Notamacropus eugenii: one gene and its partner. Each later gene encodes a partner of the first gene's protein in a complex. Links are inferred from orthologs where the notes say so. Each region holds a gene or a part of one and is shown in the gene's direction. Other genes may lie near its edges.

The links. Proteins that work in one complex are often made in the same cells at the same time.
Region 2: SMU1 (region 1) and PRPF38A share a complex: the UniProt entries of both Homo sapiens proteins name them as parts of the spliceosome B complex. The link is inferred for Notamacropus eugenii from reciprocal best matches to the Homo sapiens genes SMU1 and PRPF38A.

Annotation. Positions count from the first base shown.
Region 1 is NC_092874.1:312,785,864-312,793,622, forward strand, and holds the start of SMU1 (WD40 repeat-containing protein SMU1), read left to right. Parts: upstream 1-4,740; 5' UTR 4,741-4,894; coding exon 4,895-4,920; intron 4,921-5,972; coding exon 5,973-6,183; intron 6,184-7,759. UniProt on the Homo sapiens protein: Involved in pre-mRNA splicing as a component of the spliceosome. Regulates alternative splicing of the HSPG2 pre-mRNA. Required for normal accumulation of IK.
Region 2 is NC_092873.1:512,531,330-512,538,342, forward strand, and holds the start of PRPF38A (pre-mRNA-splicing factor 38A), read left to right. Parts: upstream 1-4,000; 5' UTR 4,001-4,333; coding exon 4,334-4,463; exon of another isoform or gene 4,464-4,797; intron 4,798-5,500; exon of another isoform or gene 5,501-5,628; intron 5,629-7,013. UniProt on the Homo sapiens protein: Involved in pre-mRNA splicing as a component of the spliceosome.

The DNA of each region.
Region 1 (7,759 bases):
GAACATTTATTTCAAAAACATAGCCAAAACAAGCATAGAAAAATTTTGTTTTGGGGTGGGAGTGATGGGGAGAGGAGGAACTAAGATGCTTCCAGGACAATTGTGATGACATGTAGAAGATGTGCCTTGGAGAGACAGACTGTGGAACATACATAGACATCCTGTAGCTGGTTCTAGTCACTTAACCCGTTATGTGCAAATGAGGAATCTCTTTGACTGACTGAAGAAGGATTCCAAAAAGTCTCCCAGCTTTAGCTCATATCTCTTTACTCCATCCACTTTCAAGGGATCTTGGTGATTCTCATGGTGTTCAGTGAAGGGAATGGTGTCTCTGACCTTGGGAATTTCAAAAAGTCAGTAAATCAAGCCACTCATGAGTCATGTCCCTCATGTTCTCTACTTCATCTTCTCCTCAGGATCCTCCAAATCTGCCATACAACCCCTAACGCTGACCCTGTTCTTCTTCCTCACCACTCTCCTTTCTTTATCTTGACCCCTTGGTGAACTAGTTCAGTTTTACATTATTCTCTATGCTTGAATCCCTTACCCATTTAACCTATTGCCAATCATGCCTTGTCCAGTGCCCCAACCTTGGAATATTCCCATCATTCATTACTTTGGCTCCTATTTACATTCTGCTGAATAGAGCTGGAGAAAATACAAAGTCAATCTGACTGAGTCCAGTACAAATATAAATTATATAATCTCAACTGAGCCCTCACTGAAGCAAGGCAATCCTTTTATACCTCACAAATTGACTCACCATCCCACTCACAACAGGAGGCTATTCCAAACCATTTTGTGACTCCTCAAGCTTCCTATGGCACTATTTCCCCTTCTCTCTCAGCTGAGAATATTGTCTCATATTTCACTGGAAAAAGTGAGATAATTCACCAAGAGCTCCTCCTCCCCCTCCTCTTTCTCATGTCATATCTTATGGGTGTCTTCTTCCACACTTGTGCCTTACACAAAGTCAGCCCTTTCTGAGGCAAACAGGATCCCATTCCATCCCATCTTCTTCAACAGATTGTTTCCTCTATAGTCTGTATTTCCCACCAATCTTTAATCTCTTTTTGTCTACTAGTGACTGCTTTCTTGTTCCCTACAAACATCCATTTTTCCTTGATCCCTAAAAAAAAAATTCTCAATGCCACCACCCTATATAATTTTTCCTTTTAATGCCTAAACTCTTTGATAAAACTATCCACAACCAATGCCTCCACTTCTCCTACTCTTTTCAGTCATTTTTCAGTCATGTCTGACTCTTCATGACCCCATTTGGGATTTTCTTGGCAAAGATACTGGACTGATTTGCCATTTCCTTCTCTAGCTCATTTTACAGATGAGGAAACTCATTCTCACCTCTTACGACTTCTAAAGTCTTTGAAGCCTGACTTCTGACCTCATGATTCAATTCTAAGCACTCTTTCCAAAAGTTACCAGTGATCTCTTAATCACCAAGTCTAATCGTTTTTATTCAGTTGTCATCCTTCTTGACTTCTCCATAGCTCTTGACATTGTTGATAACTTCTCTTTGATACTCCTATTTCTCTCAGTTTTTATAACATTGCTCCTTCCTATATCTTCTCCTACCAATCTGACCACTCTTTAATCTCCTTTGTTGGATCTTCATCCAAGTCATGTCCACTCACTTTGGGAGTCCTGCAAGAGCCTCTCCTTGTCTCTCTTTGCCTTCTATATTATCTCACTTAGTGGTATCATAGTTCCCATAGATTCAATTATCATCTCTATGCAAATTCGATTTATTCAGTCCTAAACTTTCTCCTGACTTTCAGTCTCACAACTCCAAATCTCTTTTGGACATCTCAAACTGGATAAATATGTCTTCTTCAGTCAATTTTCAGGCATGTCCAACACTTCGTGTTCCTATTGGGTTTTTCTTGGCAAAAATAGTGGAGTAGTTTGCCATTTCTATCTTCAACTCATTTTACAGATGAGGAAACTGAGGCAAACAAGGTTAAGTGACTTGCCCAGAGTCATACAGCTAGTAACTGTCTGAGGCATAGATTGGAACTGAGGAACATCAGTCTTCCTGACTCCAGGTCCAGTACTCTACCCACTGTATCACCACTATCCCAGTATGCCTAGAACTGAGCTAATTATCTTTCCCCTCAAACTGTCCAAACTTCTCTATTACTGTTGAGGGTTCCACCATACTTCCAAACACTCAGGCTTACAACATGGGTGTAACTCTTGACTCCTCACTTATAGTCACCCTACTCTTATATAACCCTTCCCCTCATTCACACAACCTCATGCCTGGACTATTACAATAGCTAGTTGATTGGTCTACCTACCTCAGTTGGCTCCCCATTCCAAACTGATCTTTCTAAAGTTAAGGTCCAACCACGACACTCTCCTAAACAATCTAGTGGCTCCATATTGTAAAAACCTTCAAGATAAAATAAAAATCCTGGTTGGATGTTAAACTCCTTCACAACCTGACCCCTTCCTTCCTTTCTACTCTTCTCACACTCTGCTCCTCATCACATACTCTACAGTCCAGCAACACTGACCTCTTTACTATTCCTTACACATGACATTCCATCTTACAGTTCTGGGGATTTTCACTTACTCTTCCCCATCCCTGAAATGTATTCCCCTCTCACCTCCATTTTCTGTCTTCTGACTTCCTTCACATTTCAGCTCAAATCCTCCCTTCAATAAGAAGCCTTTCCCAGTTCCCTCTAGTGCTGGTTCCTTCCCTGCAAGGTTGCCTCCCATATACTAGATAGATAGATAGATAGATAGATAGATAGATAGATAGATAGATAGATAGATAGACAGACAGACAGACAGACAGACAGACAGACAGATAGATAGATAGATAGATAGATAGATAGATAGATAGATAGATACACATCTGTATGTATATATAGTGTTATATATGTAGGTGTATATGTATATTGCATATATGTGGTGGTTTGCATGTTGTCATATGAGTTCCTCAAGGGCAGAAATCATGCTTTCACCTTTCTTTTCATCCCCACCACCTAGTAGAGTACTTCATACATAGCAAGTACTTCATAAATGCTTATCTGACTCAGTTCAAGCAGTTTATCAGTAATTATAAGAATCATTTTGTTACTTATGCTATGATTCTTTTCTTCTTAGCATTACTTTTTATAAGTAGGAATAAATTACTTTTCCTATAGTCAATTTATCTTGTACAGTGAATACTTCTCTCCTTTGTAGGAAAACTTTAGATTTGTGAGCTGTAATCTAATTTGCTACAATCAGCATCTGCTATTCAGTTGTGTTGGATGCTTGGTGATCCCCCCTATGGCTGTCCATAAGAGTTTTCTTGACAAAGATACTGGAGTGGTTTGCCATTTTCTTCTCCAGTGGATTAAGGCAAACAGAGGAAAAAAAAAATGACAGAAATGGAAATGAAAAGAAAGAAAAAGAAAAAGGAAAATGAATTCTGTGTACTGATAATGACCAAATTTGGCACTGGAAAAGAGATTTTAAAATGCACCTCTTTCCCTGTGAAGATGGGAGATTATAGACATGAAACAATGCACATACTGCAAGATTTGGTAGATGTTTTACTTATTTTTGCTCTTTGTGTTTTTTCATTTCTTAGTTTAACCTTTGTTACAAGTAATGGCTTACTGGATAAGGAGGGGACATTTGAAAATGGAGGTGATGTAAAAAACAAAAGATGAAAAAAATTAGGGTAAAGAAATAATCTAAAATGAATGGTTTAAATTTTGATTTTTATGGCCTGAGTCATTGGGAATTATTTTTTTTAATTCTTAATTTTCCCCCAATTATGTGAATAAACATTTTTAACACTCATTTTTTTTTAAATTTTGAGTTCCAAATTCTCTCCCTCTCTCCTTCTGTCCCAAGAAGGTAAGCAATTTGATATACCTTATACATATTGCAGTTCATTTTAGAAGGTAATTTAAGATACTTCTGTTTTCAGGACTTTCCCTGTTTTCAAAAATAAGCCTAAATTATGTTTGTTTGTTTGAACTATCCATTAAAAAGAAAAGGAAAAATGCTAAAGAAAAAGCAGTGGACTGAAAGTTTGAAAGCCTGGACTCAAGTCCCATTTTACCTGCTGGGTGACCCTGAACTAAGTGTCCTCACCCTCTGTGCACCGCAGGGGGGTAGAGAGCACATGACTTTGGAATCAGACCTTACTAGCTGTGTGACTGGGGGCAAGTCATTTACCTTCTCTGGGCATCAGTCAAATGAGAGGGCTGGACTTGATGACCTGCGAGGTCTTGGCCAGCTGGAATCTTTGATGCTAACACTTCTTATAGAACGTTAAAAGCACTTATCTCGTTTCCATCCTCTCTACTCCCTGGAGAGGTAGGTGCTAATTGTCATTTCCATTTTTACTGATTAAGGAACCCAGGTAGCTCAAGAGCTGCTAAGCTAGGGGATCCCATCCACTACACCATGGATGGAGCCTAAGACCTGAGTTCAAATCCTGCCCGACCCTGACAGCCCCTCTGTAAGATCCAGCTCTTGGGAGTCAGGGTTCTGAGACTCGGCCCCCTGCTGTGAAAAGGGAAGAAGACTTCGCTCTGGGAAGCCCTCTCCTAGAGGAAATAGGCTACATCTGCACACGGCCCAGCTCAGGGTCCTGGGGCTGTGGAGCTACCTAGGCTACAGGGCCCTCCCGCCTCAGCTCCACCCACTCGTAAGGCAGCATTTTGGCCACGTGACAGGCGGCCTCCCCGCCCCCTTCCACCGGCTTCCCCCATTCGCCCTGGAGCTGGGGCGAAGGAGGGACGCCTGGCGGAAGTGACGTAAGCGAAGACCGGAAGTGGGCCCAGTTTTCCCTCTTGGTGTGTCCGGTGGGGTTTTTTTCCCCTGCGATCTCTCGGCTTAGCGGCCGTTTTGCGGCACCGGCAAGATGTCGATTGAAATTGAATCGTCCGAGTAAGTGCCGGGGACTGGGGAAAGGCCGGGCCCGCGAGAAGGGAGAAGATGGCGGGAGGCCGGGGACGAATCCTGCGGCCTGCGCTCCGCGGAGGCCCCCTCCATCCCGCCGAGAGGAGGGCCCTCAGAATGCCCTCTAGGCCAGTGTGTTTATCTCATATATGAGGAAACTGAGGCCAGAAGGCGGCGGACGTGGCGCTTGAGAGCGCACACGGGTCGTCTTAGAGTTGGGACTAAAAAAAGCCCGAGTTCATTCCGGGACCCTCCCCAGCCCCCTGCAGGGATAGCCACCGAGCCACTGCACCGAGGCTTCGTGGGTCCAGCCGGTGGGTAGCCAGACAATCCGGGTGCGTTCGATCTGCCCCCAGGGTTTCCGCGTTTAAGGGTCCAGTTCCCTCCTTTCTATTTCTCGATATAGTGAGGCGCTAACTAATATTAATTAAGCACCTTTGTACCCTAAAGTAGAGGGAGCAAGCCTAAACTTGTACTTTTACAGTGATAGAGAACTGTAATTGTAAAATACCACGACGCTCATCGAAATTGAATTGATGATTTGTGTTCTTAACCAAAAATAAGTCAAAGCAAAGGCATTCCGGCTCTGGAGCTGGTATCATAATTAGGAGTTAGGCTCCTGAGTGTTCTCTTCCTCCTGTGCAAAATGAGGAGGAAGAGTTGCTCTCCGCAGATCTTTCCTCGAGAGAAAATGCTACCTCTACAAGTGTCCCCAGCTCAGGGTCCTGGAACTACAGCGAATTCCCCTAGAGCATGAATCTGTTAAGCTGAGGCTTATGTGTTCGTTCTGTTTTTTATGAGAGGCAACAGGATATAAGAGTAAAAAGTAGTGGACTTTGAATCTGGAAAACCAGAGTCCCACTCCCATTTCAGTTTCTTACTAGCTGTGTTACCCTGAGCAAGGGGTTTAACCTCTCAGAACCTCAGTTTTATCTTATGTAAAATTAAGGGATTGGGTTTTATCATTTCCATGGCCCTTTACAGCTCTAAATCTGTTACCCTACGGTTAAACTCATGGTATATATTTCTTCTTTTTTTAGCGTTATACGTCTCATCATGCAGTACTTGAAGGAAAATAGTTTACATCGAGCCTTAGCCACTTTGCAGGAGGAGACAACAGTGTCCCTGAATACTGTGGACAGCATAGAGAGTTTTGTGGCCGATATTAATAGTGGTCATTGGGATACCGTTTTGCAAGCTATACAGTCCCTGAAATTGCCAGACAAAACACTGATTGACCTCTATGAACAGGTAAAATTTAGTAGCAAAAGATTCAAAGGAGAATTGTTCTTAACTCAAGAATGAAATTGTCTGTGTACAACACATTTAGCTTTGATTAGAATTTTTCTCCCTTCTCTGTTCAGCATGCTGTCCTTCTACCTCTACCACTGTCTCATTCCTCCTAAACTCCTCATTGTGACCTCTGGTCCTTCCGTCCCTCCAAGTTCTCTCTGTTATCACCCATATTCAGGCTTCATTTCTCTCCTGCGCAGTGTTAGCCCTGTGTTAACCAGTTCACTGATTTCCACCTTTCTTAAACCCGTTGTTCTCATCTCAACCCTGGTCACTCCAATCATAAAAGTTTCCTCTTTGCTTACTCCAGAGCTAATGGATGTTGCTACAGAAAATATTGAAAGTGTATAGACTAAATCTACAATAAATACATATTCTTTAGCCTCTGCTGAGCTTTCAAACATTGCACAGCAATCCTTTTCTTTCAGTAGCTATTAATACTTTCTCAAGCTTCCAACTTCTCCCCTAATATCTTTCAAAAAATAACCTCCCATGCTTTACTAAGAAGATTGGGGGAAAAAACAATTGAGATCATCCAAATGAGCACCCTCATTCTTTCCTCCATCCCTCAGAACATTATGTCTTCATTCATCCTCACCTCTTTTTTTCAGGTCTCAAGAGTAAGAAGTGATCCTTCTCTTTGTAAAGGTTAATACCCAAATTTGTGTCCTTGATCTTTGTTATTTCAGCAGTTATTGTGTCTCACATCTTCAGCTTCTCCATATTGCCTAGCTTTTTCTGTCATCTACAAATGTATTCTGTCCCATCTTCCCTAATCTTGCAGTACCTCAGAATCACCATCCAGATATCCACATCTCCCTTCCCTTTCAGTTCTGAAAGTACTGAAAGATAAGGTTGCATTTGCTTCCACCACTTCCTACCCATTTTCTCCCCAACCCCTTATAGTCTGACTTTCAAGTTTCACTTGCCAGTAATGCAAGACTGTTTTATTATTAGGAAAACTATAAGTATAATTGATCATATTAACAAAAAAAAAAACAGGAAAGGCTTTTGACAAAAATACAACACCTATTCCTTTTTAAAACACTAGAAAGCACAGGAAAACTGAGGGGATGCTTATCAATTGGGGAATGACTGAACAAGTTAGGGTATGTGAAAGTGATGGAATATTACTGTGTTGTAAGAAATGATGAAGGAGATGGTTTCAGAAAAACGTGGAAAGACTTCTATGAATTGATGCAAAGTAAAGTGATCAGAAGCAGGAAAGCAATCTGAACAGTAATAGTAATATTATAAAACTAATCAACTGAAAGATTTAATTACTAATCAACACAACATCCCACCATAACTCTGAAGGACTCATAATGGAACATACTATCCACCTCCAGAGAGCTGATGGACTCAGAGTGTAGTTGGAAGAATATTTTCTTCTCTTCCTTTCTTTTTCTTGGAACAAAGCGAATGTGGAAATTGTTTTGCATGTCCATATGTTTTTGTTATGGGTTTTGTTTTTCTTGCCTTCTCAGTGGATGAAGGAGGGGATAGGAGGAAGGATAGAATTTAGAACTGAAGA
Region 2 (7,013 bases), on another chromosome or scaffold:
AACCTTCACTTCCTCAAAAGTCAGATGGGAGAGAGCTGCCATCTACCAAAGGGTCTTAGCTTGGGGCCCTTGTTTTTCAAAAACATTTTAATAACTATATTTTAGGCACTTAAGAAGGTGATTCTGAGAGAGGGTCACTAGTTTCACCAGTCTGCCTGTCTGGGCAGGGTGACCACCACAGGATGTTTAGTACAACCACAGGCATATAGGTGTCTAAATAAGCCATGCAAATGACCCGAAGTCCAAGATCAGAAACAATTGAGACCAGTCCTCAAAGAAAACAAGAGCCACCAAACACTGTCAGGACATAAAAGGCTCACCTCAGCCAGAACAAAGGGATGCACTTACCCTGCTGCTGCTAGCTGCTCACTACTGTCAGGCTCTCACAAATCTCACGCGGCTGTTTTGTGGGCACCCCTCCCAATGCCATGGCCATTCTCTAAGACGTTCCAGGTCCCCTAGGGGATTCTGCCTACACTGTTCCATTTAAAATCATTTCCCTCCTCAGCCATTCTTCTTCTTGGGGACCAAGCTTCCCTTGGATTGACTCTCAGCATCCCCTGTTCTCCCTTCACGCCTCTACTCCTGTGTCCTCCTGGTAGTCCCCCCACAGGGGCTGCTCCTTACCCCTGACTTTCTCCTGGACCACCTCCACCTCCAGGAAGGGACCTTTGCCAAAGCCACTCATGTCCAAAGGCCCCTTTCCCATCCTGGTGCTGCCATTTACCGCCTGCAGGTTGATGGCTATTTAACAGCTCCCTTCATTAGCTTTCTGTCTCTTACCTGCCTTATTCTAGGTCCTCCCAGAGAATGTCCCCACAAGGTAAGAGGGACACAGCTGGCCTTATCCCCTCCTCTCCTCCCTCTTTTCTAGGACTATAACTGCTTGAGTTTACTCATCCAGCCCTCAACTTTTCTCCTCGGTCTAGACACATACAGCAATTTCTTCTCCCCATTACACAGATGAGGAAACAGGTCCCAGAGTTACTGTCAGAGGCCAGATCTGAAGTCAGGACTTCCTGACTCCATCTAGCCCACTTTGGACTACTGAGTCAGCTGATTAAAAGTAAATGACTTGTTTTCCCTTTTTACAGTCCTCCCTTTTCAATGATCAGCAGTCTTATAATCAATCAAACCATTTCAGTCAACTTATTGGACTACAGACTATTAGAGCTGGAAAAAGGGCAGTTTGGTGGCTCAATGGACAGCGCTGGGCTTAGAGTCGGGAAGACCCATCTGCATGAATTCAGATCCAACCTCAGATACTCACTAGTTGTGCAACCCTGGGCAAGTCACTTCACCCATTTGCCTCAGTTTCCTCATCCGTAAAATGAACTGGAGAATGAAATGGCAAACCACTATCTTTGTCAAGAAAATCCCAAATGCGGTCATGAGAGCATCAGACACGACTGACCAACAACAATGAGAGCTGGAGAAGACTTCATAAATTACTTAGCCTAAGCCTTTCATTTCAAATACAATCCTATGTACATCCTGTAATATACTAGATGTATATAGCTGGTAACCTCTCTATTTGCTCTTTGCTTTCCAACCCATCCCCTTTTCTTGACTCTAAGCCCCAGCTCCTGGTGGTCTTTTCTCTCCCTTTTCAAGGACCGAGAGACCAAGTCTCAGGAGTCATTATCCCCTAGTTTATAAGCCTTCCTCTTGCGGGGGAGTTGGTGGGCTTGGCCCCTCCCAGCTACAATATCCTGGTGTTAGGGACAGAGCCCTGCCCCTGCCCTGCATTTCCCAGGGGAACTCACCATCCCTGGAGAGCTTGATCAGCTTAGCGATATATGGGTTATCATCATCATTGCACTCCACAAGTATGAAGTCCCCTACATTGATCTGGACTTTGACATTGCTGCTTGGAGATGTCACACAAATACTTCTGCAAAGCAAATGCAGGGATCAAGTGGCCCAGAGTACAGGGAAATCAAGTCACCAAGACCCTCAGGCCAGATAAGGGAGCTCACTAGTCAAGCCTCACAGATCTACCTCCCACTCAACAAATCTCCAGAACAGAAAAGGATTCCCAGGGAAGTGTGCCCAGGGTGATGAGGAGAGGAGCAGAGGTGGACTGGGGGGCCCCAGATCACAGAGGCTGGCCTCTAAGACCCTCCTCTCCTGGCATACCAGGAATAGGGCCCAGCCTCTCTTGCTGTCTGGAGAGGTGAACAACAAACAGCAAGGATGGTGCACACTCACCCCCCAAAAATACGCTCCAAACAGATACAAATTTGTTTTTTAAAAAGAGAACTTTCCTCCTCCTGGCCTTCTTCATATCTCAGCTTAAGTCTCATCTTTAGAAAAAGGACCTGGGAAGAGCCTCATCTTAGCGTCCTTCCTGAGATGAACCCCCCTCGCCATGCAATCTGTCTATACACTATCTGCACACTGTTGGCAGGTTGTGTCCCCTATTAGACTGAGCCCCTAGAGGGCACGGACTGTCTTTGGTCTTTCCTTGTATCCCCAGTGCTCAGCACAGTGCCTGGCACACAGGAGGCGCTTCCTAAAAGCTGGGACTCTTCTCAGCCAGTGAAAAGCCTAGGCCCCACAGAGACCACACCCTAAATACTGTTAAATGGCTCCAGAATATCATGATGGCAGGAAAGCCCCACCTCAGGGGGCTGGGTGCCAATAAGCAGACCCATGGCCTGGGAACCTGCTGAGTTGAATCACTTACCTGTAGAGATTGTGACGAAGTTTCCTGTCACGGAATTCACAGTTGAGCCATGAATAACTTCGTTTGGCCTTGAGCCTTGTGAAATAGTTGTTCCTCATGGCTTTTGGTCCTGAGTGGGGAGTGCAGAAGTAAGCAGGATTCGGGTGGAGAGCATGTCCTGGACTAGCATGGGGAACTCTTGAGGGGGCATTTCTCCCCACCCTGGATGCCAGCAAGTTTGAGCCACTTGCCCAGGCTCCCGCACTGGGCCAGAAGCTGTCCTACCATACTGGAGCCTGGACTTTTTAGAGGTTTAGCCAGAAGGAAGCTGTCCCAGGGCCTGGCAGAGATCTCTTCCCCATCTAGTGCCCCAAGGCATCCATCCTTTCAGCAAAGCGAGGGCTGGGCTTCCTGCTGGCCACGATGGGCCTGCTCTTTTCCACAAGCCCCTAAGTTCCTTGGCTTTCTGCGCTCAGGGCTCCCTAACTGGGTTTCAAATGAAATGGGGGAGAAACAGTAGCTGCATCCCCAGCAGGGGGACGGGAGGGAGGAAGGTCTCGCAGACTTGGCAAGATCAGCCTGAAGCAGGCTGAAATGGCAGGAACCCTCCTTTAACCCCGACCCCCCCACCGGGCAGGATCTCCACGAGGCCAGGCACTCAGCGGATGCCCGCTAAATCCAACCAAGACCACAGGCCGGGAAGTGGAGGGTACTTCGCAGGGCGAAGGGCAGTGGCTCGGGAGAAGGCTCGGGGCGCCCCTAATTCCCTGGGGGAGGGGGCGGTGAGGAGGACCCAGGGCCACGTCCCCCTCAGACAGATGCGGAGGCTCAGGTGACCCCGAGGGCGGGCCCCAGACGGGCCTCCCGGGGCAGCTGCGGTCTGCGATAAGGACCAGCCCCTCCCCCACCCGGGCCCCTGAGGCCCCCAGGAAGGCGGTGGGGGTGGGGCAGATCGCTCCTCGCCATAGAGTGGGGGGCTCCGGGCTCCGGAGGGGGCAGGGCAGTACGGGAGGCCCCTTCCCGCCCCAGTTCGGCCAGCCCCCTCCCCCGCTTCCGAGCCCGGCCCGCCGCCCAAGCCTCAGTTTCCCCGCGTGTAAAGGAGGGGGCCTCGCCCCCAGCTCCCCCCCACCCCGGAGGCCCCGGCCCCCCAGGCTCACCCTCCGGCTTCCTCCGCCGCTCCGCGTGCGCGCTGCTCGCCTCCTGGCCACCGCCAGCACCCGAGAGAAGCTTGAAATAAAAAAAAATTCGCGCCAAAAAAGAGTGGCCCCGCCCCTCGCGTCACGCAAGGCCCGCCCCCTTTCTCCTCCCTCCTGCGTACGGATCGGGACTTTTGTCTCCGCCTCTCCCCCTCCCTCTTCCACCCCTCCCAGATTCAAAAGGTCGTTCGCCGTCCAGGCGCTCCGCCCCCTACGTCTCCCCCCTCCGCTCTTGTTTCTAGTTACGTCATTATTACGAAGCCGCGTTTGGGAAGGTAGAGGCGTCGCGGTCGCGGCGCGTGCCCGGTTTCAAAGTGGCCGCCTCGGTGACGTCATCGGCCGCGCCGAGACGCTTTCGCCCCCGCTTCCCCCCCCCCCCCCCCCGCTTCCCCCGGCTTGGCTCGTGCGGAAGTGACGCAGAAAGTGCCCGCCGGAAGGGCTGCAGAGGCGGCGCCAAGGGCTTCCCAAGATGGCGAATCGGACGGTGAAGGATGCTCACAGCATCCACGGCACCAACCCGCAGTACCTGGTGGAGAAGATCATCCGGACCCGAATCTACGAGTCCAAGTACTGGAAGGAGGAGTGTTTTGGACTCACAGGTGAGCGGCTGCGGCTGGGGCTCCGGACATCTCCCCGGCGCGTCTCGAGCCGCCCAGGGAGGATGTGAGCTCCCCGGCCGGGGAGGAGTTCAGACAGAACCCTTGGAGCTCGTAGCCTACCCTGACTTTTGGACTGTAACGGTCCCTTGCGTTTCTGAGTCCCTTTCTCTCGAGCCGAACTAGGGAAGGCGTCGGAAATGTTTGCCTGATTGAGAGAGGGGCTTCGGGAGGCCTTTTTACCTTCCTCACCAGCATACCTGCAGCACGGAGTAGATACTCACTAAGTGACCGTGTCTTCCTGCCCCCTCTTTCATATTTGGAAAGCCGCACGCAGGTAGGAAGCGTTCGAGGCAGGATTGAACCCGGGCTCTCCCACCCCAGATTCTCCTCTGCTCCCGGCCGGCTCCTGTTCACGTCCAGGGTGAGCTAGCTTGGACCATAGTGGAGAACGTCGGGGTCCCTGGTGCCTGGCCCCGGCCGGGCACGGCCAAGAACGGGGTGGGGGAGGACAGACTCGGAGCTGCCTGTCCGTGGGTGATGTGGCCGAGCGAACGTCTATTAAGCTTTTATTTGTTAAGCGCTGTGCTTAATGCTAGGCCTAGGAAGTCCGAGCCGCCCCCGTCCTCGAGGACTTAGAGTGGGGTGAGCAGTGGGTGTGCAGGGAAGTCAGCAAGGTTGTTGTGTTGGTGGGGTCCCCGGAGCAGAGGGCACTCAGCCCCTTCTGCCCAGAGCGTTGCCTCTTGATCCTCCTTTGGTCGCTGTCCTTGACCCTGGCCCGGGGAGCAGAGCTCTGGGTGAGGTCGCTACAAAGGTGCAACATTGAACGAAACTGACAAAGCCTTGTTGCGGCTTGGAAGGCTGCCCAAGACCCGGGAAGGGATTTGGCTGAAACAGGTGGGGCTGCGCCTGCGCAGTACATTTCAGGGGGTCCCTGCTTTTTCTAAGGCCAAAGACACATTCTGGCATTTAAATGCCGTGGGTCAGCCAGACTGGTCTTGCTGTTTTTGACCTCTCAGAATCCATCTTTTCTTTCAAAGCTCAGCTCAGCTGCCACCTCCTACACAAAGCCGTTTCTGGATCCTCCCTCCTCGGCTGCCAGCGTCTTCTCTCCAACAGTTACCTTGTATTTAGTTTTTGCTTCTATGGATACATGTTGCCTTCCTTGGTAAGAAATCCTTTCTTTGAGAGCTGCACGTTTCAGTTTTGTTTTACATGCCTGGCATATTGTGTTTAAAGAGAGATGAGGGACTACTTCATTTTTGCCTCTGCTTCCCTAGTACCTTGTGCCTGGCACATGGCTTGAAATCAGTCACTGCTTCTTGAATGAATGCCAAGGCAGCTCTTTCAGATTCAGAAGGCAGAGTAAGTGTGTGTTTGCATTGGTACTTCCCAGTTCTTCCCTGAACTGAAATCCTTCCCAAGTTTAACATCTTATATTCTAAGGTTCTTCCCCCAGCTGTAACATTATCTTATTTTGAATGACTTGCCCGGAAGTGTTTGTATGTTGAAGGGAGAAAACATTTCTTGGGGCCTGGTCAGGCCTTTAGGGCAGGGCCATATGCAGAGATGGTGATAATAACATTGTCCGCCGATGTGATCGGAAAGGTCACAAGGGCCCCTTCACAATATAGTAATCATAACTGCCACTTAATGGTATTTTAAAGTTTGCTAAATGTATTACATAGCATCTCCTGGGAGGCAGCTGCTGGAGGTAGGATTATCCCCATTTTATAGATGAGGAAATTGAGATGAGAGATTGTCACTTGTCTGTCATCTCTCAGTTAATAAATGAAGAACCCTGGTCTTCCTAACTCCAGGTCCCTTTGACTGCTGTGTCTCACGGCCTAAACCAACCCCACTGCCGCTGCCCAGATACCAGGAGTGTCATGTTTTTAGCAGCACTCTTCTGACTCCTGACCCCCATGCCAATGCCCCTGAGCAGAACAATTTTTCAAGCTGTTATCCCAAAATGTCAGAGTTGGAAGGGGACTCAGAAAGCATCTAGCTTGACCTTTTTGTTTTACAGTGGGAGAAACTGAGGCCAGGAGAGGTTTCCCCCAGTGAGTCAGGGTTCAAAGCATAGCAGCTTCAGGCTGCAGAGAACAGGTAGTAGTGTAGTGGGGCGGGGTGGTAGAGTGTGAAGTCCGGCTGAAAAAGGTAGATTGGGGCTAGAAGCAGAAGGCCTTTAGTACTAGTGGAATCTGTAGTTCAGGAGCATGCTGAGCCTGGAGTCAGGAGAGGACCTGGGCTGAAATCCTTCCTCATGCAGGTCCTAGCTGTGTGACTTTGGGCAAATCACTTCACCTCTTTCTGCCTTAGTTTCTTTAACTATAAAATGGTGATAATGAATAGGAGAGTTTATTTGTATAGCACTTAGCACAGTGCTCTGTAAATACTAGCTGTTATAATTATCATTGTTATCATTATCATTTCTCCAAGCACTTGGTAGCCACTGAAGGGCTTTAGATAGTAGCCAGAAAGGGCACTAAAGCCTGACCTTGGGGTATGTAGAAAGGACACAGATGGTAAGAGGTTGGAGGGATAGAGTAA